7 linked regions of the Canis lupus familiaris genome follow. The protein of the gene in region 1 interacts with the protein of each later gene in a pairwise test. Links are inferred from orthologs where the notes say so. Each region holds a gene or a part of one and is shown on either strand. Other genes may lie near its edges. The genes, in order: FAM161A, CCDC136, SSX2IP, CCDC57, TRIM54, DHX32 and CDR2.

Region 1 (4,139 bases):
TCAGCATGTAGGTCTGTCTTGCTGTTTTGGGGTCAGGCCCCAAGAGGGGCACGTGTGGCCACAGAACCATCTGCATGTGAATGACTAGAAGTCCCTATATTTATGGCATCCATATACCTCATAAGCTTCTAGCTCTAGCTTCTGCTCAGAATCCAACCAGTACCCGTTCCAGTATGCAAAGCAAGTCTCAGCCAAAACAAAGAACAGCCTGAAGGAGGTGGGGAAATGGGGGATTTTGCAGATACTCACACTCCAGCTCCATATGCAAGAAACGCTTGGTAAGAAGAGTTCAGAGGTGCCTGGCTGGCTCAGTCAGTAGAGAGTGTGACTCTTGATCTCAGAGTCCTGGTTCAAGCTCCATGATGGATGTAAAGCTTGATTAGAAAAGAAAAAATGATTTAAAAAAAGAAAATGAGCTCAGACCTCAGAGATAAGTTCTAGGCAGCACATGCACATGCAGCACATGCAGCACATGCTGCAGCTTAGGGCTCCTGGGCACGACGAGGCTGAAGGATAGGGAGGAGAGGGTGATGGCAGCCTCAGCCTGAGGCAGCAGGGACTTAGGTAGCAGGTGGCTGAGGCTGCACCGCAGTCCCATGGGACAGGGGGAAGCCGCCTCTTGAAACGCCCAAATCTTGAGTGGGGAGCTGCTGATGGGGTGGGGTGGAGGTGGGATGTGTCTGCGGCTACTGTTCCAAGTTGGTGGACCCTTGCCCCTTGCAGCAAAGGCCCGCTTCGTGCACCTGCAATTTCAATCACTGGTGGGTGGGCCAGGCTCCACCTAACTCTGGGCTTTGATTGGTCAAACCAAGAAAAAAAAGGAAGAAAAAAGACCGGTAGCTCTCAGGTCAATCAGCAGAACGTACCTCTGCTCCCCCTTCTCGGGCTCCGGCGGAGCCGTGTCAGGTAACAGGTGCGAACCACGCGGCTGCTCTGAGGTCGCCGCGCGACAGCATCGCCTGCTTTCCGCCGCCGCCTTCACTACCGTGTTAGTTCAGTGAATGAAAACGCGCTATTGTTTTTTCCTACAAAGCGAGTCGTTTCGCCGGTACGAGGCGAGCAGTGCGCACCTGGGCGGCGAGGCGGAGGCTGGCGCAGAGGCGCCCCTTCCCGCCCGCCAACCCTCTAAGCCGGCCGAAGGCTCAGCCTCGCGCCGCGCCTCCCGGAAGCGCCCGCCCCGGGTTTCCCGCCGCCGGAAGGGGAGTCCGGGGGCCTTTTGGCCCCTCGCGGCCCCTGTAGCGTCCCTGGTTACGGCGCCCTTGGTAACCGCCCGCCCCAGCCGGGAGCCGCCGGGTGGCGGGAGTCCGCGCCCGCTCCCCGGCCCCGGGCGAGCGCGGGCCTCGGCGGCGCGGCCATGGCAGCCTCGCAGCGAGCGGCGACCCCGGCGGCCGCCCGCCTCCAGTCCCCGGGAGATTCCAGCCCCGGAGCGCAGGCCGCCCAGTCCCAACGCGAAGACCCCTCGGAGGCTGCGACGGCGGCGGCCGCGGCCTTGAGGGACGAGGAAGACGGAGAGGAGGCGGCGCCGCGGGCGCAGGCGCGGGTAATGCAGGGGCGGCCGCGGGCCGCGGCGGGGTGTGCGCCGGGTGCTGGCTGGCGGGCGGTTCGGGTCCCGCTGGGTGAGCGGCGGCCTCGCGGCCGGGAGGCGCGACGCCCTGCCCAACCCCCTCCCCCAGTGGGCCCGGTCCGCACCTTCTCTGCACCCCCACGGTAGGTACTCAGAACCGGGGCGCTGGATTGGAAGATCTTTTAATTTTCCACAAAGAGATCGTTGCAAAAAAAAAAAAAAAGATTTCTTGGAGAGCCTCCATTTCTAGAGAGCATCAAGTATAGAGCTTTACTTCTCTTGCTCCAGCATCTGTCGCACTTGCAAAAGCAGTTACTGCTTTTTCTTTTCAACTTGCGGAGAACTGATGTACCCCATAGTGCATGACTCATAAAACTCAGGCGAATCAGCTGTGCTGTCAGGTGTGTTTTGTTGTCCCTTTAAAGTCTTGGTTATTGGTGCATTTTTTAAAATTTTATTATTATTTTTTTTTAATTGGTGCATCTTCACAGTGTACAGGAGAGGCGGTGTTTAAACCCATTCAAGAGTTCAGGGGGGCACATCATACACAGATGAACGTTAAGCATCCAGAGAAACAAATGACTGAGGTTCCAGTTTCCTAAACGACTCTTCAGGGTGAGAAAGCCCCTTGACAGATCAATGTTCAGTGTCAAATGTGTTGTGAGCACCTGCCCATCAGGTAGAGGGCTGAGTTTGCCATCTACTCTGTTCCCTTAAAAGATGGGACCATTGAATTTTAGCTAGCCATGTGCAGATATAAACCTTACCCCCAGTTAAAGATTCTTAATACCGTTTGTCCAGAGCATCTCAGATACAAACCATTATGGTCTATGGCTAAAAAAATCACTGGTATTTTGGAATTCTAACCTAAACACTAAAATTCTATCCTAAACACTAAAAGTGTTTACGGAGAAAATCTGTAGCAACACCTTCAATGGTCAGTATTTCACCAGCGGACAAACTACCCGAGGTCATCCAGAGTAAGGTACATTGAGACCCTGAACATGAACCAAGGTCAGAGTCCTGGGAACAGTTTCATTCATAATAAAGCTTCCCCACAAAACAAATCTCAGAACCAACAAAGGAGGCAAAGTGATAGAGGAAAAAGATTTGAGTGGAGGAAGAGGATTGGGAATCCTGGACAGGATCCATTCTCTGCCATTTGCGAGGTGATACTAAGATGTAACTTTCTTCAATCTCAGTTTCCTTGTATGTAAAAGAACTCTAATAAATGTGTCTCTTACTGGGATATTAGGAGAACCAAAGGAGAAAATGTGTGCATTATCTACAGAACACTTTGTATAAATTCATAATAATAATAATAACTGCCAATGAGACTGTCATTTGAACAACTGCCCCAAAGATTAAATTCTCCTTTGGCTTACTGTGCTGGAGGAGTCAGTCATTTCTGTAGTAGCAGGTATACTTCCAGACTGCCCTGCTAAACTGCAAATCTGTATCAGAAATTTAGTGCCTTAGGAGAGATCGATTCATCCAACAAGCTAGTTTCAAAGGGACAGATTACTACCAAACAGAAAAGGGAGCTAAGTCTTATGAGTTTAATACACTTGGAGGATCCAAAAGCAAATCTGGATAAGCTGCCACAGTAGACCTGATAGCCAGAGGGCACCGGTTGGAGAAGGAACCCCGAAAAGGCAGGAAAGGGTGCAGGAGCCAAGCTTGTCTTCACAGTTCATCTTGAGTCTCTACCTTGGTTTTTTTAAAGATTAATTTGTTTCAACTTTATCATCTACAAAATGTAGTAAACTCATGGATACTATAAGTACCACACAAGACTGATAAGAGCGGAGCTTGGGTGGCAAGTTTGGTTAAGTGTCTGGTTCTTCATCTCAGGATTGTGAGTTCAAGCCTATGCATTGGGCTCCATGCCTAGCCTTTAAAAAAAAAAAAAAAAAAAGACTGGTTAGAGAACCACTAGGCTCCTTTCACTCCTTTGGTTTGCCACAGTGAACCCCATCCCCCTCCCACACACACCTTGAAGGATCCTGAGCCCATATTGAGCTCTGAGGTATGTTCCTTGAATCTAGCCTCCATTGGAGATAGCATTTCATAGGCCTTGCTATGTGGTTGATGATGGCATGCGTAAAGCAATATTCTTGAATTCACAGTTAAAGTCTCACTGACTTTCCTAATGGGGTAACAAATATCAAAGAGTTATTAAGCGCTAGTCACTGAATATTCATTTGTGAGTGAAGCAGACAGATCCCATCGTCACAAAGCTTCCAGTCTGGTGGGGAAGTTAGACATACAAAATGAATAGTCAAATGATTATAAGATGAGAAATGCTGGGAAAGAAATGAATAGGCTTCTGTGATTAAAAAAAGAAGTAGTCAGGAACCTACTTAAATGAGTAAACAATTAAGTCAATACCTGGTAGATAAGAAAAAGCAGCCATTTGAAGACTAGGGGTAGAAAAAACATTCCAGGCTGAGGGAACAGCAGAGGCAGCGGCCCTAAGATAGGAAGAGAAAGAGTTTTGTGTGATTAAGGATCTGAAAAGAAAAGAGATGAGAGAGAAGGGCAGGGAAGGAGACAAGGTAGGAGAGATGAGCTG
Region 2 (4,176 bases), on another chromosome or scaffold:
CCTTTCTCATTTATTGTGTCAGATACTTTGTCAGATGCTAGACATACACAAATGACTAAAGTACTTCCCAATCTTCCAGAAGTTGGGCAGACACAAAAGTAAAAACCTGACCTTGACAAAGTGACAGGTGCTACCCCAGGAGTAAAGAGGACAGTGTGGAGCACAGCAGGCCTCTACTGGTCTAGGGGTGGGCATCAGGAGAGGCTGCCTAGAGGTGACTCCTGACTGAGGGTTGTAGAATAAGTAGGTATGTCTAGGCAAAGGAAGGCTTCTTTCCTGAAGAATACAGAGGGCTTGTGAACACAGACAATGCACGTCCATAACCTGGTGAGTGGATAGCCAAGAAAAGGGATTGGTGTGTGTCCCTGGCTCAGGAATCTCCTAACACTTTCCTCGATGCATTGGGACTGCCTGGTTCCCAAGTGTATCCACTTCTTTCCTGGGTGAGACCTGTAGAGACCTGAGAACGATTGCCTCCTCTGATCCCGCACCAGGTAGATGTGCCCTGAATGAACGATTACGTGAAACAAGCCCTCTGGGTTTCCACGTCTCCCTTGTATGAGAGTGAAAATCAGCAGTGCCCACTCGGAACAGGCTCCAGAGGCAGGGTGGGTGGAAGTCGTGCATCGCAGCTCCTTGGGTGTGGGGCCAGGGGGGAAGGCAGAGTGGTGGAGGGAAGAGGTCTTCAGGCAGTGAGGGCTGCGAGGGGCCAAGGCACCGCCCTCCCGAGGGGGTTCGGGCTCTGGCTTGGTTGGGGCGCGGGGAAAGCAGGGGGGTCAGGGCCCTGCGGGTCACAGATCTCGGCCTTGGCTTCCCTTCTCCTGCCTTGACGCGGTCAGTCCCGGGACGCAAGAGGCCACCGCGCGGGGGTGGGGGCTGCGGCCGGGGTCCGCGCTGCCTGCGGAGGTGGGGGACGCGGGCCCCGCTTGGCGGGCGTGTGTCCGCGCGTTTGGAGGAAACAGCAGCGGAGGATGCGTCCAGCTTTGTGCTCTTCCTGCCCCATCCCCGCGCGGGACGGGGCTCGTCTGACACTTGGCCCCGAGGGGTCTCCGCGCGCAGCCGGCCCGGGCGGGACCCTTCGCCGGAACCAGGCGACCTCGCGGCCACTCCGGGACGGCCTCACGCTCCGAGGGCGCCCCCGCCCCCGCCCCCGCCCCCGGCCCCCGGCCCTGGGGTGAGTCTGGGGCCGGGCTCCGTCGCCCCCCGCGCCCGCTCGCCGCCCGGGTCCCGGAGGGCGGTGGAGCGAGGGCTTCCGGGCGGGGGTGGCGTCAGGTGGCCCGGCCAGGCCCCGCCCCCTCGGCCCGCCCTCCCTCCCCTGCGCACCGGCTCCGGGTCCCCGGCCTGGCGGCTGCGGCGTCTCCTCCGGGCGGCGACGGCAGCGGCGGCGCGAGCGGCCATGGAGGCGGGCGCCGGGGCGGGCGCGGGCGCCGCGGGCTGGAGCTGCCCCGGCCCAGGTCAGAGCCGCCCCTCCCTCACCTCTCCGCCGCCACTCCTTCCTCTTCTCCATCTCTCCTCCCTCCAGACCCCCACGTCCTCGCTCTCCCCCCTCTCCCTCCGCCGCTCCCACCTTTCCGTCCTGTCTTCCTCCCTCATCCTGCCCCTCACCCCGGGCCCGGTCTCCATCTTTCCGGGCTGGGTCTTCCCCACACCGGTCGCATCATCCCCTGGCGGTCTCTCGCCCTGCACCCCTCCACCCCGTCGGTCCGGCCCTGGGCCCCAGACCCTGCGCCCCCTCCGGCCGAAGGCTCGGAGCGCAGGGCGAGGATGGGGTGGATGGGTCCAGGCAGAGAACGGAGCGGAGGGGAGCGGCCCCGGCCCGGAACCCCTTGCCCCACGCATCCCCCCGCCCCGCATCCCCTCCTTCCCCTCCTTGCACCACCTCACCCTCTCAGCCTCTCTGCCCTGGCTCTCGCCCGTCTCCCTTCACAGCTAAAGAGACTGTGCTGGGAGAGGAGCCTGGAACTGGGGATGCCGGGGAGGTTGGGCAGCGCAGGGCGGGATCCCCGCAGGCCCAGCTCGAGGGGCGGCTGAGGGAGGAAAGTCGCAGCCGGGGCCGCGTGAGCCGAGCACTTCCACCTGGATTAAAAACTCTGGGGCTCCAGAGGGCTAGAAGGCACGTCCCCCTCTCCCTCCTGTGCACCCCAGCCCCCAGCCCCCTTAGTAGCCCACCGTGCCTCCTCTCTTCCTACCCACAGGACCCACAGTGACCACTTTAGGCTCCTATGAAGCATCTGAGGGTTGTGAGAGGAAGAAAGGCCAACGCTGGGGGTCCCTGGAGCGGCGGGGGATGCAAGCTATGGAGGGTGAGTTTTCCCAAAGAGCTTTCTTTCTCTCCCCTCAGCCAACTTCCCTTCCTTCCTCCTTACCCCATCTGGTCCCCAGAGCTCCCAGCCAGGACAGAGCCCTTCCTGTAGCTCACCTGAGCCCCCTCTACCCTTCAGGTCTGAAATCTACCCCTCCTCAGGGCTCAGGCTTTGAGGGAGGTTCTGGGTGCCTCCCTTTGGGGCCCTAATCACCAGCTAACCAGGTTGTGTGTCCCGGGGGGAGCTGCCAGACAGAGAAAGAGGCCTCGTTGGACAGAGCTTTGAAGCAGGCCTTTCAGCAGGGGGTTTGTTCTCACTGCCACCCGACCCAGATCCCAAGCTGTCTCATATTTTTGAAAAGCAGGGAAGTGAGCATGTGAAGTGAGCATTGTCCTTCTGGTGCCACCACCACTAACTTTGAATGTAAGCCTTTGTGGCTTTGGTTCTCTTAGGATCCCTTACAGCCTGAAAGAATTGCCTGGGAGGGGGCAGGTGAGAAGGCCAACCTCCCAACACTCATGTATCCCCACCGCACCCATGTTACTTGACAGTTGCTGCCAACACCAGACTCCTGGAAGGATGCTGATCCGTTTCCCAGGACTCCCTGTGAAGTGTTCCCAGGTCTCCACGCACACTGTGTGGGCAACCCTGCTCCTTTAAGGGGGACAGATGACACAAGGGGTCCCAGATGGACCTTAGGCTGCTGTCATGAGACCAGGGATTCAGAATTGTAAAACAAAGCAAATAATCAGTATCCTGACAAAATGTCGCTATTTCAAGGAACTGCATTGCAGCAAAGGAGGGGGTACTCACCAACCAGAGGCTGGGGACCAGTGCACCCCAGTTTCCTGATGCATTAAAATGGTAGGCTTTTTTTTACACACAAGTACAGCCTTGGAACTGAAACCTGAAGTTTCCTTCAGGTTTGGGGAGGGAAGTTAGGAGGAGGGAACTCATAACACTTGAGGAAGGGAGAGGCCTCCTAACAGCAGAGAAAAGGAAGTGGACTCTGCAGAAAATTTCAGAACAGCCATGTGATAGAATACATTTGAAAGGGCCTCAGTATTGGTCCAGTAAAACATTTAAAATCACTTCATTCAGATGTTTTCTTTTTCTAACTACCGATAGGCAACCCTTTCTTATTCTGGAAAAGCTAATTTCTTCCAAGCCACCTGGATAATTTTTTAACTTTGGACAAACCCCAGACTTTAACTCTTGTCCCATTTGGCCTAAAGACACGGCCAGCATCTGAATCCTTTCTTGAGTACTTGTCCCACTATGCAGAGACCACCAGGACTGCAAGAAGCATGTATCCTTGTGCAAGCTCACATAGCTAACCAGCACCCAGCTGCTCAGTTTGCCCGAAGTCAGTAGCAAGAGGCCACCTGGTACAATACTGGTCCAGGAAGGGCCTGGGTGGGGATGGGCTACCTCCAAACTTGACCCTTACACCTGAGGACTCATCACCGAGTGCAGGTCCTGCCGAGGGGGCTCCTTGGGGGACACCAGGTGGCACTATTATACCATCTCTGCCCTGGGACAATGAGCAGAAGGGCCCTTGAAGGACTCTGGAAAAGAAGTTGCCTCTGACCCCCTGGTGGGATGGGTTTCTCTCCTAGGGGAAGTGTTACTCCCAGCTCTCTATGAGGAGGAAGAGGAAGAAGAAGAGGTGGAAGAAGAGGAAGAGCAAGTGCAGAAAGGTGGCAGTGTGGGCTCCCTGTCTGTTAGCAAGCACCGGGGTCTGAGCCTCACAGAGACAGAGCTGGAAGAGCTGCGGGCTCAGGTGCTACAGCTGGTGGCAGAGCTGGAGGAGACCCGGGAACTGGCAGGGCAGCATGAGGATGACTCCCTGGAGCTGCAGGGTGAGTGCCTG
Region 3 (2,329 bases), on another chromosome or scaffold:
AGCAGATAAAAATGTATCATTTGTTTACTTAGATTTGAAAGTAATCATTTAACCAGATTTTTTTAAGATTATATTTATTTGAGAGAGAGAGAGCAAGCATGAGGGGGTGGCGTGCCGAGGGAAAAGGAGAAGCAGACTCCCCATTGAGCAGGGAGCCCAACACAGGGCTCGATCCCAGGACCCTGAGATCATGATCTGAGCCAAAGGCAGACACTTAACCAACTGAGCCACCCAGGCGCCCCAGATTTTTTTGTTTTGAGGCTGGTGGCAGAGCATACCTCCCAGATTGTGTCATTAAAGAGTAGCAGCTGTGTCTGGGTTCAGACACTAAGATTGTTGCTCTCTCACACTTACAATTAATTGAGCATTGGTGTAAATGCTTAATGTGTGTTAACTCAGTTCCACCCAACCCTATGAGAGAGATACTATTATTTCCGTTTTACAACTGAGGAGGCTGAAGTACAGTGACATAGTGAGCTGAGCAGGTCCAGCTGGGATGAGCCTAAACCATCTCTGGCTCAGAACCTGGACTCTTTAATGCTTTTGCAGGCTCTCATTAAATAGCTGTGTGGGTGAATGGCTGCGTAGAGGAAAGCATGCATGAACAAATGGATGTGCAAAGAAGAAAACAGTAAAGAATTATAAAATAGTGGCAGGAAGATGGGAACATGGGGAGACACAAGCTTTCCAAGCCCTCATGTTCTGTATCTGACAGGCTTGGGTTGGGCAGAGAGCTTCAGAATAGCCCAAAGAGATAAATAAGTAGATGGGTAAACAGATAACTAGGTGGATAGATATGATAAAAGTGATAAATTAGGCCATTTTGAAATACTTACTTTGTTCCTAATCAGTGTGTCCTCAAAAAATTTTACTTAGCATAGGGCAAGGGAACAATTCAAATATAGATATTGAGGCAGAACTTAAGTATAAAAGGAGGAGATGATGATGAAGATCGATCTTTCTCTTCCCTGCAGTTCCATCAATGTACTGAATATAACTCCTGAAGAAACTAAACCAAATCAGGTCGGCAGAGAAGGTACAAATCAGAAATGGAGCACAGCATCAAGACCTGGATCACAGGAAGGGTGCTACAGTGGATGCTCCTTGACCTACACAAACTCCCATGTAGAAAAAGATGACTTACCTTAGACGTGTGGACTGGAATTGTTTTCATTAACACGTTCATCAGATTTCACATCTAAGTTGAGACAGGGTGTGTCATAAAGCCAATCATCTCTAATAATTTAAGATGGTCTGAGTTGTTTGTTTGGACTTTTCCTCCCCCAAAGAGCTAAAATGTTAAATCTATTAAAAAGGATATAAAAGCTTTGGATATGTATTTTTAGTAACAGAAGCATCTGGTTCTGTGAATAAAGGAATGTATATGTTTGGATGGAAACAGAAGCACTAGAATGAGTTTCCTCTTATAGGTATTAAAAATAGCACTTTTAGGAAACTGATTATTGTAAATGTTTAATTTTGTCTCATATATAGTTGGCATTGAAAGTTTAGCCTTTACTTGAATGTATACTGTAGATTTTTAACAAAGCAAGTTCTATATTTATTATGTTTAGTGTGATTTGAAATTTCCTCTTTCATATGTTTTAAATAAAGTGAAATTTATGTATGTTTTGTACATAGATATACATGATTATGTTAAGAGGCTTTAAGATTTAAAAATTTTACACGTCCATAATTATAGTATTTCATGCCAATAAAATTTTTTAGTGGTATTCTGTTTACAGATGTATTAGAGCCATTACCACATTATGTTTAAGAATTTTTTGAATGCATCTGAGCAATAAATACTCAAAAGCTGTTCCATGAAACTGACTTCTTTAGATGATTATCACTACTGACATTGCATTTTTGAGATTTCTACAGCAGAAGATTTATGTATGTAGGCTATCACAATTTTTCAAAGGACTTTTGATGATAGGGTAGTAGAGGTAAGATAACAAAAGTACCTTTGAATAAAACTAAGAATATTGGTTTCAGATATTTGGGATGATAAAAGATATTTAAGATAGCTGAGTGGTGATATTTTCTTTACTAGACGGGAACCGATACCACAACATCTCTACCAGCTTGGGCTTGGTATAGTTGCCAATAATTTTGTAACAATTTTCCAATGGGGTGTTTGCGACTAATGATAAAGAAATCTGACAAAGTGTAAAAAGCATCAGATGTTATCCAAATATTCTCCTGGACAAACTCGTGTCATCTCGGTTTCAGACCCAATGGCATGTTTCTTCATGTTGTTATTGATGATGATAAATGTAGGCCCAGGTTCTTGCCCAGAACTACCAGAAAACTTGAGCGCCTGCCC
Region 4 (3,500 bases), on another chromosome or scaffold:
GGCCGACCTTCGGGGCGCTGTCCTGCGGCTCTGGTGGCCTCTCCGTGTGGACCTCGTCCATGTTCCCAGGCACGTGCTCTCTCTGGGCAGGTCAGGTCTTGCTATCGGATTTGGAGGTTTTTCCACTTGTGCAGTGACTGTTTTTTACATCATTGTAATTCTTCAAAACACAACGTAAATGGTTGTGTGTCGCACCGCACAGCCCATCCCTTCCGGGCGGCCGCTGAGATGCTCGGCTAGCCCCTGCCACCCTGGTGCGCAGGCTATGCTCATGCGTCCCCGGGAGCTCGCCGACTGGCTGGAGCGCCACTGGGGCTGCAGGGAACCGGGGGCTGCAGACTGGGCGGTACTGGGGCGGCGGCCCCCTCGCACAGTGAGCACAGCTGTGGCCCTGCAGGCCTGTGTCTGTGTGTGTGGGGTGACCCTGCAGGCACGTGTCCATGTGGGGAGGGGACCCCACAGGCCTGTGTCCATGCCGGACGGAGTAGGGTCCTGCAGTCCCATGTCCGTGTGTCAGGGGGACCCTGCAGGCCCGTGTCTGTGCCAGGGGCTCTCCTAGGGCTCAGACCAGGACCAGGCAGTCTGCCGGGCTGCGCTCCCTGCCCCCCTTGTTCAGGCGCCGTGTTTCCCTGCCAGCGGGTCTGCAGACCCTCGTTTCTTGGAGCTCATCTGACTTTCTGGTGTTGACAGCCAGCAGCGGGCCTGCCGCGGTGAAGCCCTGTGCTCAGGGCCGTAGCCTGTGTCGCTGTCATTTCCTCAGGACGCCACCGCTGAGCGTGGATGCGGGGCCGTGGGGCGTCCCCTTCCTGCACGCCGCACGCCCACCCTCCCTCTGTCCCATGGATTCCAGTGGCTGTCATGAGAAGTCAGCAGAAACCTGGTATCTGTGCCTGTGCGTGCCGAGTGTGCTGTGTTCTCATCGCTTTTGGGCATTTTCTATCTCTGATCTGTTTTAGGAATTTGATGATGACGTGCTGTTTGGTGGGATTTTCTTTGTGTTTATCTTGCTTTGAGTTTGGTGGACTTCTTGCATCTGTGGTCCTCTGTTCTCATCAATCCGAAGGTACTGTGGTCAGCGTGTCGTAACTGAAGGACTTCTTCCGCAGAGCCTGTTGATGCTCCCGTCTCTCCCTCCTTCCTGCACCTTCTGGTCTGCTCCCAGGCCATCCTCAGTGAATTTATTATTTCAAATGATGTCTTTCTCGTTTCTCCAGAAATTCTGGTTCTTCTAAAATTATCTTCTGGGGGCTCCTGGGTGACACAGTGATTGAGCATCTACGTTTGGCTCAGGTCCTGACCCCGGGTCCTGGGATTGAGTCCCCACGTGGGGCTCCCTGCTCAGGGGCGTCTGCTTCTCCCCCCGCCCGCCCCATGCACTGGCTCTCTCTCTGAAATAAATAGATCTTTTAAAAAGATAAATAAAATTCTTTTCTGTTCTTTTGCTTTTACGCCCATTTTCCTTCCTTTCCCTGAGTGTGTTTGTGGTTGCAACTGTGCTCAGGTTCTGACGGCCACGGAGCGTGTCTTCACGGTTCACCTGGGGGATCGCGTGTGTCAGGGCTTCACTCCTCTTCATGGCTGAACATTGCTCCATCTTGCCACGTTTTTTTAATTCATTCATCCATTGGTGGATGGTTGTGTTTGCACATTTTGGCTCCTGTGAAAAATGCTGCCGTGAACACGCGTGTGCAGGTTTTGCCGGGGCCATCTGTTTTTGGTTCTCTTGGGCTTATGCTCAGGAGCGGAGTGTGGGTCGGGAGTCACTCTGTGTTTGATCCTTGGAGGAGCCGCCAGACGGTCTTCCATGGCGACGCGCCGTCACACACACGCAGCAGCCCTCCCTGTGGGCACTCTGCCTGCCTGTCTTTTCCACACCAGCTGCCACTGTAGCTGAGAAGGAAGCTGCCTGTCAAACAGTAGGCTCGTCTTCCCAGCGCCTGCTGGGAAGGTTTTCATTGTCCCCGTCAGTTTAGGTGGAAGTTTCCTGCCGCCGGGTGGGCAGACGGGAGGGAGTGCAGATGCGGCCAGCCCTGGATGGGCAGCATGCCACAGGTGTCTTCCTAGCTGTCAGCGTTTTCTTTTCTTTTCTTTTTTTTTTTTTTTTTCTTTTCTTTTCTTTTTTGTATGTGCCAGGTGCTCCTAAGGCATCGTGAAGAAGAAACCAAGGAAAGTTTTCCGTCCTATGAGATCCAGAGGCTCCAGGAGCAAAACACAAGCTTACGAAGGGCTGTTTCAGAGATGAGGAAAGAAATGGAGACTCTGAGTGAGCATGTTCTTCCTCCTGCCCCGTCAGGGGGTCAGGCCGGCGGCCCAGAAGAGCCCCGGCCACATCCAGAGGCAGCTGCGAAGGCTCCTGGTGAGTGAGGGCGAGGGTGGGGGCAGGGGCTGGGGGTACGTGGGTCTCCACGGGTCCCAAAGGGGCTCACTTGGAGTCTGTAAATGAACAACTGCTTTAAAACATCACATCAATGTGTGGCAGCAGCCTTCCCCCGAGAGAGGTTTCGTGGAGTCCGTGTTCACAAAAGGGGTTACAGCGTTTTATTGGTTGGGGACGAGGAGAGCGAAGGGCTGCGTCCTTGGCACTTCCAGCCGGGAGCCCGCTGGCCGGGGAGCTGCTGGGCGCTGTTCAAGTGGCGGGCAGTGTGGGGCTGGGGACGCTGAGCCTCTCCTCGGGGTGTCCTGTGCTGTGGCGGAGCGGGGCCCCACTGGTGGCCCAGGAGTGGCCGTGAGCAGAGGGCCCCAGGCAGCACGGCCCCGCGCGTGAGACGCCGTGCACTCCCACAGACGCCAGTGCGTGGGGGTGAGGGGGTGCTGCCTGTCTGCCTCCTTAGGGAGCGCCCTCGCCGCAGGCGGGGGGGGGGCATTATGGGTGGGCGGGCAGGGAAGCCAGCCACCCCAGCCCGAGTGGGCCTCTACCTAGGTGACGGTGATGGGAGCGTCCGTGTGTGTGCCTGTGCATTTACTGGTTTTTTTGGGGGCAGATCACGTTATGGTCCTTGAAACGGAAATACGAAATCTAAAGGATAAACTTAAAACCCTGGAGGAACAAATAGAAGATGTCTTAGATCCTGCAAAGAGGTCCTCATCTTACGCTGACGTTCAGCCCAGTGTCCACTGCCCGGCTGAGGCCCCCGGTAAGTGTCCTCGTCTCCTCCTGTCGCATGCTCTGTCCCACTGACGCGGCCTTTGTTTTCATTGGAATATAAACGCTACAGCAAGTGCAGGAAATGCAAAGGCACAGGTCAAGGAAGGATCACAGCCGCGGGTCCCTGTTCCCGGTGCCCGGGAGTCCCTGGGCCAGGCTGCTCACCCCTCCATGTGGGCACCTCCCTGCCCCCCACCTGCTCGGCCGCACGCAGATGCCCCCTCAACCTGGCTGGGGCGCTGGCCCAGCGGAGGGTCTACCTGGGGGACTAGGGGGCAGACGCCGGCCAGGCAGGGATGATGTATGGGGAGGGAGGGGGAGCAGGACCCCCACCTCCAGATCACCTGGTCTCCAC
Region 5 (4,257 bases), on another chromosome or scaffold:
TGCCCACCATTTACAAACGTCAGAAGGTATCAAGCAGTGGAGGGAGCAGGCATGGTGGGGCTGGGGACAGTGAACAGGGTCTCCAACTTCAGCCTCTCATTCCACTTGGTTTTAAAGGCTGGCAGATCAGGGCTACAGTCCCAGCTCTATGCATGACTCAGTGTGACCTTAGGTAAGTCACTCGACCTCTCTGACCCTGACTTTCCTCACTTATAAAATGAGGGTGAAAATGCCAACTTGTAAAGTTATTTTAAGGATACAATTAGATGGATACAAGCAACTTCAGTTTGGCAGCCTAGATACTCTCCAGGCCCTCTCACTACCACACAACTACATTTGACATAAAACATAATTTTAAAACTATATCAGTGGGGCACCCGTGTGGCTCAGTCGGTTGAGCATCTGACTCTTGATTTCAAATCAGGTCATGATTTCAGGGTTGTGAGATCAAGCTGCATGTTGGGCTCCATGCTCTACTTTGAGATCCTCTCCCTCTGCCCCTCCCCCTAGTCTCTCTCTCTCATGAACAAAATGAATCTTTTAAAAAAGGGAAATAAAAATTATATCAGAGGACAAATGTTGGCAGTATTCCTGAGCTAGACAGCTGAGACTATGCCTCCAGACTCCTGAAAGGTGGACACCTGAACTGAAGACCTCCACAAATCTTGGGTTAAACTGGAATCTCAGGAACTAAGGTAGTCAGATGTGCCACCGGCTTTTGACAAAAGCAAATGCAGAATCTGCGTGGAGGAAACCCACCCAATTTAGGCTCTTAGGGTTTCCTTAGATTAAGAACAACAAAATATTAATTCAAAAGTGAAGATACAGAAAGAAGTGTACCTGAGTGAAGTCGGTAGAAACCAAAATTAGAGATTAGACCTCTGAGGAATTCAGATATTGGAAATATTAAAGAATTGGGAATTACTGTGCATAAAATGATTTCTTAAAAGGATGGAATAAAACCTTAGCAATAATAGATTGCCAAACATGCAGATTTAACAAAGAGCCAAATAGAGCTTTTAAAAATGAAAATGTGATTGTTGAAATAAGACATCCAAAGGGTAAATTAAATGACAGATTCCTCTGAAGAAAGAATTAGCAAACAGGAAGGCAGGCCTGAAAAAGTAGCCTAGGATGCAGCACTGGGAGAGGAGAAGGATGAGCACATATGTCTCCTCAGAGTCACAGAATGAGCAAATAAAGAGAATGGAGATGAGGTAATAGTATCCTAAGGAATAATTACGAAGAATTTTTCTGAATTGATGGAAGGCGTGAATCTACAGACGAAGCATTTAGTCCAGGGCCTGGCAATTGGTGGATATTTGGCAAATGTCTGTCCCTTTCTCATTTGTTGATGGAGGCCCTCCTCTTTCCATCTCCTTACAGAATCCACAAATGTGCTTTCACACTTCTTGGACAGTACCAAGCCACTAGATCTCTGGAATAGCTACACTGCTGGTGGAGTGGAGGGACAGTCCTCTCCTAGGCAGCCCTGGCTGGGGTGGGAAGGGTACAGCTCTAGACAGGGTCCTCCAGCTCTAAGTGCTGGCCTGTGTGTGTGGCAGAGCGAGCTCAGTGATGGCATCGCAATGCTGGTGGCAGGCAACGACCGTGTGCAAGCAGTGATCACACAGATGGAGGAAGTGTGCCAGACCATCGAGGTGAGTCTGGGTTGGGAGAGAGGGGAAATTTCTGGGTTCCTGGTGGAGGAGGGAATCACAATTAGTGGGATATGCTTAGCCAAGCTACTAGGTTTGAGTTCCCAGGGTAGCTCCGTGACTTTGGTCCAGTTACTTCACTTCTCTATGCTTTGTTTTAAACATATAAAATAATGATAATAATATGATGGCTACCTCACTGGATATTTTTGAGAATTAAATGAGATAATATAAGTAAAAACTAGGACCAGAGATACTTCCGAACTCCTTTAAAATATTGTATTTGCTAAAGAGAGAAAATCTCAAGTTTTCACAAGAAAAAAAATTGTAACTATATGTAATGATAGATAACTAGACTTGTGATCATTTCACAATATGTACAAATATGATCATTTCACAATATGTACATTTCACTACATTGTACATCTGAAACTAATATAATGCTAAAAGTCAATTATATCCCAATTTTTAAAAATCTTGTAATTGGTATTACTGAAAAGACCTGGGTTATCAGCAGCCCGTGGCTATGGGTGGGGTACTTTCCTTCCTGTCTGTGCCGCCTGTTTACTGGGGAGTGGGACAAGTAGGTGCGTGCTCTCCCAGCTAGAAATCTTATCCTTGCTCCGCTCTTTCAGGACAACAGCCGGAGGCAGAAGCAGCTGCTTAACCAGAGGTTCGAGGCCCTGTGCTCCGTGCTGGAGGAGCGCAAGGCCGAGCTGCTGCAGGCGCTGGCCCGCGAGCAGGAGGAGAAGCTGCAGCGCGTCCGGGGCCTCATCCGCCAGTATGGAGACCACCTAGAAGCCTCCTCTAAGCTCGTGGAGTCCGCCATCCAGTCCATGGAGGAGCCACAGATGGCGCTGTACCTCCAGGTGGGCGCTGGGGGAGGGCGGGAGGCCGCAGAGTGGCGGCAGTGGGGGCCTTGGCACCAGGAGGGCTGGGCTCCAGTCTTACCTCTGGCAGCCAACTGCCCCACGGCCTCGGGCAAGTCACCCAGTCTGAGTCTGTTTTCTCCTCAACGACCCGGGATATGCATCCGCGCCTACCGCGCAGGACTGTGGGCGCCAGCAATGGGACTTTGCCAGCGCTTGGCGCGGTGCTTACGCTCACCCTCCCTTCTTCCCTGCAGCAGGCCAAGGAGCTGATCAATAAGTGAGTAGGCGGAGCGGGAGAGGCAAAGAGGGGCTGCCTGGGCTCGGCTGCCCCGCAGAGCGGGTTGAGGGTGCTGCGGCGACTCCAGCTGAGCGGCTGCCGCGCCGCAGGGTCGGGACAATGTCGAAAGTGGAGCTGGCAGGACGGCCAGAACCGGGCTATGAAAGCATGGAGCAGTTCACCGTGAGCGTGGAGCACGTGGCCGAAATGCTGAGGACCATCGACTTCCAGCCCGGTGAGGGAGTGAGGATGGGAGGGGGCGGCGGGCGCTGGGACTGGGCGTCCCGAGGCGACGCGGGGAAGGGGGACGGGGGACGGGGGACGGGGGGGGGGGGGGGGGGAGGTCGCGGCCAGAGAAGCAGGGACTCCACCTCACGGGGTCTTCCTGGGGGACAGGCGCTTCCGGGGAGGAAGAGGATGAGGAGGTGGCATTGGACGGGGAAGAGGGCAGCGCAGGGCCGGAGGAAGAGCGGCCGGATGGGCCGGAAGGTGAGTGTGGCCCGAGGGGCCTGGCGGGGCTGGCTCGACGCCCCGGGCCCCTCTGCAGTGAGGCCGCCCTGCGGCACCAGCGATCTTTGGTGGCCTCCCCACCCCCAGCGGGAGGGGCGCCCCCTAGCGCGCGTGCAGAAGTACACTCTCTTTCCCACCAGCCTTTCCTCTGGGGCTTTGGGAGACCAGGTTGGGTCGGGAGGTAGAGGAGAAAGCCACGTGGCTGGGGGAGAAGGGGCGAGCTGGGGTTCGGAGCTGCCTTGTTCCTCTGGAACGCCCGCCCACCGAGCTTTCTTTCCCAGGCACTGGCGGGCACTGAGCTGCTCCCTGTTGGGGAGCCCGCGCACCGGGGCCTGGCGCTGGGGTCGCGGAGGACCTGCTCAGAGACCGCTGCGCCACCCAGCTCGGCGCCCAGCCGCGGGGGAGGGGCTCAATAAAGGGCTAATGTGTTCAGACCCGCAGCTCCTTTCACTGCTCACTCTCAGTCTCGGCTTCCGAGTGACCCCATCACCATCCTGCCCTTCTCCGGATCCGGGCCCATTTGAGGGACGGAAGTGGAATGACCCCTGCGGGGCATCTCCTTGGTATCAAGCACGGTTTGGCGAGCTCAGTGCCAAGGGAAAAGGGTCGGGGTGGTGCGGCGGCACCAGCACCTGAGTTCTTGGGGGAACGATGGAGATGCGGACCCCGGGTGAAGGCCCTTCTGCCCGAGCCCTCGCGCCAGCATCTAGTTCCCCCCCGCCGGCCTGGGAGGTCGCACTTTCCCACGGGCTCCCACCCTGCTGTGGTTCCCTGCGCCCCACAACCGAGGCCAAAGGCTCTTCAGCACTTTTATTAAAAACTGGTGACGCACAGAGTGCTCAGGGCATCCCTGGGCCGCTCTAATCTGGCGGGACTGGGTCACTTCCAGTCGCGCACGTCCGGGCCCGGGGAGAGGGGACGGGGTCGAGGTTATCGCGGC
Region 6 (3,500 bases), on another chromosome or scaffold:
ATTTATTTATGATAGTCACAGAGAGAGAGAGGCAGAGACACAGGCAGAGGGAGAAGCAGGCTCCATGCACCGGGAGCCTGACGTGGGACTCGATCCTGGGTCTCCAGGATCGCGCCCTGGGCCAAAGGCAGGCGCTAAACCACTGCGCCACCCAGGGATCCCCAATGAAATTGTTTATAAATTATATTTAACTTCCCCAGAGAAATGTTCTCATCCAGTTACATCTTCTTTTCACATAATGATTCACATAGACAACAACACAGGTATTTCTTTCCATGTATACATTCTGCAGCTTTTGCCGACGGTTTTATTTAATTAGACTTTTTTTTTTTTTTTTTTTTTTAAGTAGCAGAGTTGTTTGTGACATGTTTATTCTCATGAATGACGTTATTTTTTACTTTAGGATATTGAGAAAGCCTATGAAATCGTCTGCCAGGAAGGATCGAACTTAAACCCAGATCTTGGAGAGCTGGTGGTGGTTCCTTTGTATCCAAAAGAGAAATGTGCATTGTTCAAGCCAAATGATGAAACAGAAAAAAGATGCCAAGTTTATCAGAGAAGAGTGGTGTTAACTGCTAGCTCTGGAGAGTCTTTGATCTGGAGCAATACGGTCAGATTTGTTATCGATGTGGGTGTGGAGAGGAGAAAGGTAATTATTATCAAGCAGGTAAACCATCTGCTGATAATTGTCCTTGGGTTCCTGCAGTTGTATCCACTGGGAAGTGAGGGTGACGCATGTGGTCTGGGGAGTCTCTGATATGCTCATGTGTGCAAAGGGAAAGTATTGCCAGTCTTGTTTACCCATTCCTGCCTTTCATTAGCACACAGGTAATCCCCAAACTAAGTTGATTGCGGTGCCACAGGAAAACCTTTTGAGAAAAGACACAACTGCTAAAGCATAAAGGTGGTGGTTCTCCTTGTCAGTGGTTTTTCGTAAGCTAAATAATAAGCAATTAAATAATAATTAAATAAATAATTATTAAATAATAGCAAGGCAAGTTATTTGACTCCTGAACCAGTCTTTCCCTGTGTACATCTACTGAGTATTTTTGGTAGCCCCTTTATCAACATCATTAGCATCTTCCCCGAGGTGATTTGCCAGAAATTAGTTTCCAGTACACAGCCTTTAATTTACCAAGTTTCTGCTTTAATGTTGACCTGATAAAATTCTATCCTAAGCTTTTAAAAATATTTTTTTATAACTGTCTTTAAATAAAATTAGGAAAAGTGCAAGTAGGATATCTCAAACTCTCAAAGACACTGGAACATAAGAAATCATAGCATTTAAGAACTGAAAGAGCCTACCCAAGTATTGATCCCGTTGCGCATTATTAGAGATCACGTAGCTTTTCTCCTTTAGGAAACTGGCTCTCCTAGTATCTTACTGTCTTAGTGCTACAGAGTGATTCCAACCATTCCGCAGGTTCCCTTGGAGCCACTTTGGATTCTTACCATTCAGAAAACCCAGGGATATTATTTGCACTCCCCCCGACCCCCTCTCCCCCACCAACAGGAAATTTTTTTTTTCAATAGAAAAAAAAATCACTGTTGGTGCCACATGCAGCCTTTGTCTGAGCCATTATATCTGGAGAAGCTCAGCTTATCAAGGTCAGACCGCTGAGGTCACAATTTGAATAAAACCTTGAACAGTCCCATCAGCAGATGATGATGCTGGTGCATATGTGGCGTATGCCCATCTGTCGTCATCACAGTGTCATGCTTTGAGAAATGACACTGCCAGCATTTCAGGACAGGTGTAGAGGTCCCATATTTATTGAACCTCCAATGAAAGCAGACAACTTGAAATCCATTTATCAAGGCACTAGCAGTTTCTATCTCACAGCAAGGGAAATAATAAGCGTCGTCCAGAGAGAATGAGTCCATAGCAGAGCATTTCAAGAAGTGACGTGCTCCGACCCACACGGTCCCCTCAGGTCCATCGAGCCTGTGAAATCTTGAGTGATCTGATGCTAAAGAGCCTGTCTTTCCATTTAAAGGTGTACAACCCTAGGATAAGAGCAAACTCCCTTGTCACGCAGCCCATCAGCCAAAGCCAAGCAGAGATTCGCAAGCAGATTCTTGGTTCATCTTCTTCAGGTAGCACCACGGTCACGAAAACCACTGCCAATTCCTGTGGGAAGGCAGCCTAGAGACGTTAAAACCATTCTTCTTGGTTTCTCCTAGGAAAACTTTTCTGCCTGTACTCTGAGGAATTTGCCTCCAAAGACATGCGGCCACTAAAGCCAGCCGAAATGCAGGAAGCTAACCTAACCAGCATGGTGCTCTTCATGAAGAGAGTGGACATCGCGGGCTTAGGCCACTGCGACTTCATGAACAGACCAGGTAGCGTTGTGCTCGTGTGTTGGCCAGCGCGTGGCCCCGATGTGCCGCCTCGCCTCCTGCCCAGCCCAGTGTGAAGAGCAGGTGGCGCTTGGCGGAGCAAGCAAGCGTCGGGGTTTGGTTCATACTGAAGCATTTTTCCCATTAGAGGGAAACAGTCTTAGAAGGACTTTTTTAAAAAGCCTCTAGAATCATCTGCCCCAACCCTGGAGAATTATCTGTCATTGGACCCTGGAGCCTGGGGGGCTGGGCCTGAGAGACCCAGCGGGTCTGAGTGTGGCATCAGAGGCCGCCTGCTGCAGAGGGCAGGGGACTTCTGGTGGCCTCCAGGCTTCCCGGTGGGACGTGAGTCAGCCAGCTGTCCTGCACCGCACCATCACCCGGGGGAGCTCCCCTGGAAGTTCCTTCCTTCACAGTTAAGGTCTAGCATTTCCACGGAGGGTGAGGTTCCGGAGCCTAGGACCGAGACTCTAGCTACGGGCTGGCCATCACCCTCCAAGGGGAATGACGCCTCTGGCAGGCCCTTGACAAAAGCCCCCTGTCACCCAGGAGGTGCTGGCTGTCTCCGCTCCAGTGCTGCCCTCCCTGGGACCGCAACTGCCCCGTGGAACACCAGCAGAGTGCTGTGGAAAGGCCGAGAAAGCAGGGACAGGTGGCCTCTGCGGTGTGCAGGGCGGCCACGCCACATGGTCAGCCTGGGAAGGGGAGCCGGGACCAGCTCCCCTCAGCCTCCCACATTCCCAGTTGGCTTCTCCTACCTGGCGGGCAAACGGCTTCCGTTCTGCCTATGATGTCGGGGCGGGGGGGCGGGGGGATGCTGGCTCTGGAGTTTAAAATGTTAGCAATCAGCGGCCACGAAAGGTTGAAAGCAGCAAACGCTCTGCTTGTTCTTGTCCATTTAAATACGTCTCCGGGGGAACAGCAGTAGCGTCCTTGTGGCCTGTGCAGACGCAGTGGTTCAGTGCTGCAGCAGCCCTCTGAGCTAAATGCTCTGAATTGCTCCATTTTACAGATGAGGAAACAGAGTCACAGAAGTTAGGTCGTGCACGCAGATGAGAAGCTGGACCCTCTGCTGCAGTGTCTCCTTACACAGACCGGAGCCCCAGGGGCCTGAGCATCTGTCCTAGTCATCCGTGCCCTCCATCCCTTCTCTGGTGCTT
Region 7 (4,217 bases), on another chromosome or scaffold:
TATCTCTACCTGAATTTTGACAATTAGGGCTAAGTAAAGGCTGTAACGTAACCCAGTTTTCTTCTTTTTTTTTAACCTAGCAATAAAAAGTAATCAGTAACATTTTGCCTTTTGGTATAACCGAATTCAGAAGAAAAGGATTTGAGTTTACTGTTCCTCTTTTATTACTAATACCATTATTGCTTCTACGTTTATTGGTTGGCATTCTACTACTATAGGAGAGAGCACGGCTGTCTTTTATGAGCTGTATCTTGACCTTTCCGTCAAGGTCGAGAACATTTACCTTCCAATCACCCCATTTAGGAGTTTCTGAGTTTTGTCTGCGCGATGATGGTAAAGGCCGCTCCCTACGAGTAGCAATTAACTTTAACTTTAACCCCAAGGAAAGCGAAGTTCACTGCCCTGCTGGCCATCAAGTGCTGCATTCAGCTCCAGCTCCCTCCAGGTGCAACGTCACGACCCTGGGTACTACACCTGGCGGTCTATGAACCTTATAAAAATCGTGTACAAAAGTGCTTGCAATTTTTTTCCCCTAAGGAAATACCTTTAACTGCACCCTATCCCCCCTCCCCCCCAGACACTCAAATGGGAGCCCTTCATTTCAGGGGGAAGTGAGTACAACTCTCAAGGGTTTGGAGGTGAGCGCTCAATCAAGGAGAAGACAGCTAACAGCCCTAAACTACCGACCGATCCGTAACTTCCCAGCTCGAGGAGCACAGCTGGGGGGGGGGGGGGGTCCAAAGTCCAGAAGAGGCCAGCCGCGCAGCGGACCTCGGGCTCCCGGCACCCTTCGCGCCTCCGCTCGCACGAAGGGCGCCCACGACAGCCGCCCACGGCTCGGACGCGGGCCCCCGCCCCTGCAGCCCATTTAGGCTGCCCACTGGCTAACTGGCTGGCCGGACACCCACCACTGGCGCCGCGGAGGCCGCCAGCTCCACCGCCAGCACCCCAAACGCTGGCCCAGGAGCGACCCAACGCACAGGCGAGGGCGGGGCCCTCGGCCGCACCCCTTCGCCTTTCCCCCGCCTTCTTTGTTTCTTCCGGAGTCGCCATTGGCTGCTTGCCCGCGAGACCGGGCGACCCGCGGGCCTGCGGTGAGACGGGATTGGACGACGTCGCCGCCGCTCGACCGGCGGCCCGCTCGCGATTGGCCGAGGCGCCGCCGGGGGTTTGAATCGCGGCCCCGGCCGGGGAGGGTTCTGCCAAAGTGCCACGTTGGGCCCGGCTGCGGCGTGAGGAGCCGGTTCAGGGCGCCGGCCCGGGCGCTCGAGCCGGGGCTCCGGTCGTTGGGGCCGTTGGGCGGCTCGAGGCGGGCCGGGGAGCCGGTGCGCGGCGTGCGGGGCGGGTCGCCCGGCGGCAGCTCTGGTCAGGAGGCGCGGCGGAGCCTGGGCGGCGGCGCGTCCCGCCCGAGGGCGGCTCTGGCTGAGGGCGGAGGAGCCGGTGGAGCGCCCGGGGCAGCGGCTGAGGCGGGACGGCGGCGGCGGGGGCCGCTGCCCCCGGAAGAGCCGGCCGAGATGCTGGCGGAAAACCTAGTGGAGGAGTTTGAGATGAAGGAGGACGAGCCGTGGTACGACCACCAGGACCTCCAGCAAGGTGAGGGCGCGGTCACCCCCCCACACACACACTCCTCGGGAGGGCGGCCTGGCCGGGAGCCGCCCGGGCGCGAGACCGTTACGAAGTCGCCCCTGCCCGCGGCCGGGGGCCGCCAGGTGCGGGAAGGTCTGGCGCTCACCTGGCGTGGGGACCCGCCGCGCGCCCGGCCCGCCGGAGGCCGCTTCTGCGCAGTGATCCTCGCCACCCCTGCGTGTGGGCCGCGCTCTGTGGGGGGCGCTTCCCCGGGGGGACCCCGCGTAGCCCGCGTGGACGGGGAGCCGCCGCAGGTGGTCGGGGTCGCGGGGGGGGGGGGGTGCGGGGTGTGTGGCAGGAACCGTGCCGGGCCCGCCCACGTCAGCCGCCCCATCCGTTCCCCGGAGAGGAGCTTCTCTTCTCTTGCTCCCATTTCCCAGATGAGGAAAGCGAAGTTAAAAGGGCCAAATGACTTCGCTCGAGTCAAGTATGGGGGCGAGCATTTTTTGAACTCACACACTCAGAACGAGGAGTCATGGCCACTGCCCAGACCCTGTGTCTTCTTTATCACCGGTTTACAGCTTCTTCAGTTGGGTGTCAGAAAGTTGAAAAAAAAAAAAAAATTTTTTTTTTTTTGTTGCTTATGCATAGTTCAGATGCCAAGTGAAAGTGACTTGAGGCACTTTGCAGTTTGCGCTCTAGCTTTTATTTTATTATTATTTTTTGTAAGTTTAAAAACAGGCATTGGGATCTTGGCCTGCCTTGGATTTCTTGCCGAAAGTGTCTCCAGAGAAATCTTGGAGCAGCCTTCAGTTTGGAGCCAGTGCCCTCCCCTTTTTTTTTTTTTTTTCTTTTGGTATTAATAGCGGGAATGTGCAACTGGGGACACTTTTTGAGTGTGTGGGTTCTTAACACTGGTGTTCATTTGATCCTCTCATCAAGCTATATGAATCTAGTAGATTCTATTATTGGGGGATCTAGGGTTCCACTCCAAACTTCAGAGCAAACTTTCTTAGCCACTATACTGAACACTCCTTAGGAATTTTTTTCAGGCACCTTTGGTGTCTGCAGTTCTGGGTAAATCAACTTTTTTAGCTTTAAACGTGCACTGAAAATTAACATCTAATTGAGGTGACTATTAAATGACCATGGTGTTGGTTCATGCTAATCATTGAATGTGGGGTGGCAGGGAAGGATGTAGGCTTGAATGACTTGTACTTAGAAAACAAAACAACTCTTTTGGGGAAAGGTGGCTTCTGATATGCCGTGGACAGTCACTTAAACCAAAGTAGTTCACCATTTCACTTAAATAGCCCAAGCTGTTCAGTGGCTGCAGTGCAGTATTTCCCATCATGTTCTGAATGTCCATAGGCAAATTTGTCTTACATTTTAAGGAAGCTGTTTTCAAAACTGCTGCCCCTCTCCCCCATAAGGGGGATGCCTGGGTAGCTCAGCAGTTTAGTGCCTACCTTTGGCCTAGGACGTTATCCTGGAGACCCAGAATCGAGTCCTATGTCGGACTCCCTGCGTGGAGCCTGCTTCTTCCTCTGCCTGTGTCTCTGCCTCAGTCTCTGTGTCTCTCATGAATAAATTTTTTTTTTTTTTTTTTTTTTTTTTTTTTTTTTTAAAGGAAGGTGAGCTGGAACCCTCCCTTTTCTTATTTATTTTTTATTTTTATTTTTTTTAATTTTTATTTATTTATGATAGTCACACAGAGAGAGCGAGAGAGGCAGAGACACAGGCAGAGGGAGAAACAGGCTCCATGCACCGGGAGCCCGATGTGGGATTCGATCCCGGGTCTCCAGGATCGCGCCCTGGGCCAAAGGCAGGCGCTAAACCGCTGCGCCACCCAGGGATCCCTCTCATGAATAAATTAAATATTTTTTTTAATTCCCTATAAGGATTGATGGCCTAGTTTGATACATTCTCCAGGTTTAATGAGGCAACCACTGCACAATTGGAGCATTTTCCTACAATAAATTATGTAGTTTGTATAATCACAGCTAAATATTTTTCTTTAGCAAGCATAGATCTGTGCAGGCCCTCTCCCCTTTTTAAAAATCTAGCATACTTAGCACATAATAGAGGCTCAGTTTTAATACTTATTGAACTGAGTCGCTCACATGGGATTAGTGTTTTCATGGCTCCCTTCCATCAGGTGCTTTAGTCCACACTGCCCTTCCACCCTGTGGGAAGTTTTAGGAACAACCAGTCATAAGATTTCAGTCTATGGGAAACAAATGCAACATGTTGGCACTACATGTGGAATTCTTTAACCTCTTTAACAAAGCCATCGGATGTTCAAGTTTAATGAAACTTTAATGAGCACAGGTCTAAATCAACTTAATGTCACTTTGCATTTGGAATTTGTTCTCTACTTTTTGGAAGACTTTTACATCTGTTACCACAATTTGACTTTGACATAACCCTGTATGTCATAACCAAGTGTGTGGGTTAGGAATAGATGTGAAATTCCAACAATTATAACTTGTGGAATATAGCCTGTAGAAGAATGAAGTCTGCACTGTGAATAAAAGGATATCTTTGTCCCAGTTTTTAAAAATTATATGTTAAAAAATACCTAAACTTGGGCAGCCCCGGTGGCGCAGCGGTTTAGCGCCACCTGCAGCCCAGGGCGTGATCCTGGAGAC

Evidence for each region.
Region 2: the proteins of FAM161A (region 1) and CCDC136 interact in binary tests that used the Homo sapiens proteins (3 or more experiments, as listed by UniProt). The two-hybrid records come from large-scale screens. The link is inferred for Canis lupus familiaris from reciprocal best matches to the Homo sapiens genes FAM161A and CCDC136.
Region 3: the proteins of FAM161A (region 1) and SSX2IP interact in binary tests that used the Homo sapiens proteins (3 or more experiments, as listed by UniProt). The two-hybrid records come from large-scale screens. The link is inferred for Canis lupus familiaris from reciprocal best matches to the Homo sapiens genes FAM161A and SSX2IP.
Region 4: the proteins of FAM161A (region 1) and CCDC57 interact in binary tests that used the Homo sapiens proteins (3 or more experiments, as listed by UniProt). The two-hybrid records come from large-scale screens. The link is inferred for Canis lupus familiaris from reciprocal best matches to the Homo sapiens genes FAM161A and CCDC57.
Region 5: the proteins of FAM161A (region 1) and TRIM54 interact in binary tests that used the Homo sapiens proteins (3 or more experiments, as listed by UniProt). The two-hybrid records come from large-scale screens. The link is inferred for Canis lupus familiaris from reciprocal best matches to the Homo sapiens genes FAM161A and TRIM54.
Region 6: the proteins of FAM161A (region 1) and DHX32 interact in binary tests that used the Homo sapiens proteins (3 or more experiments, as listed by UniProt). The two-hybrid records come from large-scale screens. The link is inferred for Canis lupus familiaris from reciprocal best matches to the Homo sapiens genes FAM161A and DHX32.
Region 7: the proteins of FAM161A (region 1) and CDR2 interact in binary tests that used the Homo sapiens proteins (3 or more experiments, as listed by UniProt). The two-hybrid records come from large-scale screens. The link is inferred for Canis lupus familiaris from reciprocal best matches to the Homo sapiens genes FAM161A and CDR2.

Annotation. Positions count from the first base shown.
Region 1 is NC_049231.1:63,129,068-63,133,206, reverse strand, and holds the start of FAM161A (protein FAM161A), read left to right. Parts: upstream 1-1,339; 5' UTR 1,340-1,354; coding exon 1,355-1,540; intron 1,541-2,055; exon of another isoform or gene 2,056-2,179; intron 2,180-4,139. UniProt on the Homo sapiens protein: Involved in ciliogenesis.
Region 2 is NC_049235.1:7,706,669-7,710,844, reverse strand, and holds the start of CCDC136 (coiled-coil domain-containing protein 136), read left to right. Parts: upstream 1-1,376; 5' UTR 1,377-1,396; coding exon 1,397-1,454; intron 1,455-2,195; coding exon 2,196-2,303; intron 2,304-3,922; coding exon 3,923-4,165; intron 4,166-4,176. UniProt on the Homo sapiens protein: May play a role in acrosome formation in spermatogenesis and in fertilization.
Region 3 is NC_049227.1:63,807,022-63,809,350, forward strand, and holds the end of SSX2IP (afadin- and alpha-actinin-binding protein), read left to right. Parts: intron 1-974; coding exon 975-1,149; 3' UTR 1,150-1,829; downstream 1,830-2,329. UniProt on the Homo sapiens protein: Belongs to an adhesion system, which plays a role in the organization of homotypic, interneuronal and heterotypic cell-cell adherens junctions (AJs).
Region 4 is NC_049230.1:986,431-989,930, forward strand, and holds part of CCDC57 (coiled-coil domain-containing protein 57), read left to right. Parts: intron 1-2,133; coding exon 2,134-2,356; intron 2,357-2,981; coding exon 2,982-3,134; intron 3,135-3,500. UniProt on the Homo sapiens protein: Pleiotropic regulator of centriole duplication, mitosis, and ciliogenesis. Critical interface between centrosome and microtubule-mediated cellular processes. Centriole duplication protein required for recruitment of CEP63, CEP152, and PLK4 to the centrosome.
Region 5 is NC_049238.1:21,340,359-21,344,615, forward strand, and holds the end of TRIM54 (tripartite motif-containing protein 54), read left to right. Parts: coding exon 1-26; intron 27-1,565; coding exon 1,566-1,661; intron 1,662-2,293; coding exon 2,294-2,527; intron 2,528-2,784; coding exon 2,785-2,807; intron 2,808-2,917; coding exon 2,918-3,042; intron 3,043-3,203; coding exon 3,204-3,296; intron 3,297-3,598; coding exon 3,599-3,615; 3' UTR 3,616-3,757; downstream 3,758-4,257. UniProt on the Homo sapiens protein: May bind and stabilize microtubules during myotubes formation.
Region 6 is NC_049249.1:35,375,324-35,378,823, reverse strand, and holds part of DHX32 (putative pre-mRNA-splicing factor ATP-dependent RNA helicase DHX32), read left to right. Parts: intron 1-403; coding exon 404-649; intron 650-1,997; coding exon 1,998-2,097; intron 2,098-2,184; coding exon 2,185-2,343; intron 2,344-3,500.
Region 7 is NC_049227.1:23,520,492-23,524,708, forward strand, and holds the start of CDR2 (cerebellar degeneration-related protein 2), read left to right. Parts: upstream 1-1,417; 5' UTR 1,418-1,514; coding exon 1,515-1,593; intron 1,594-4,217.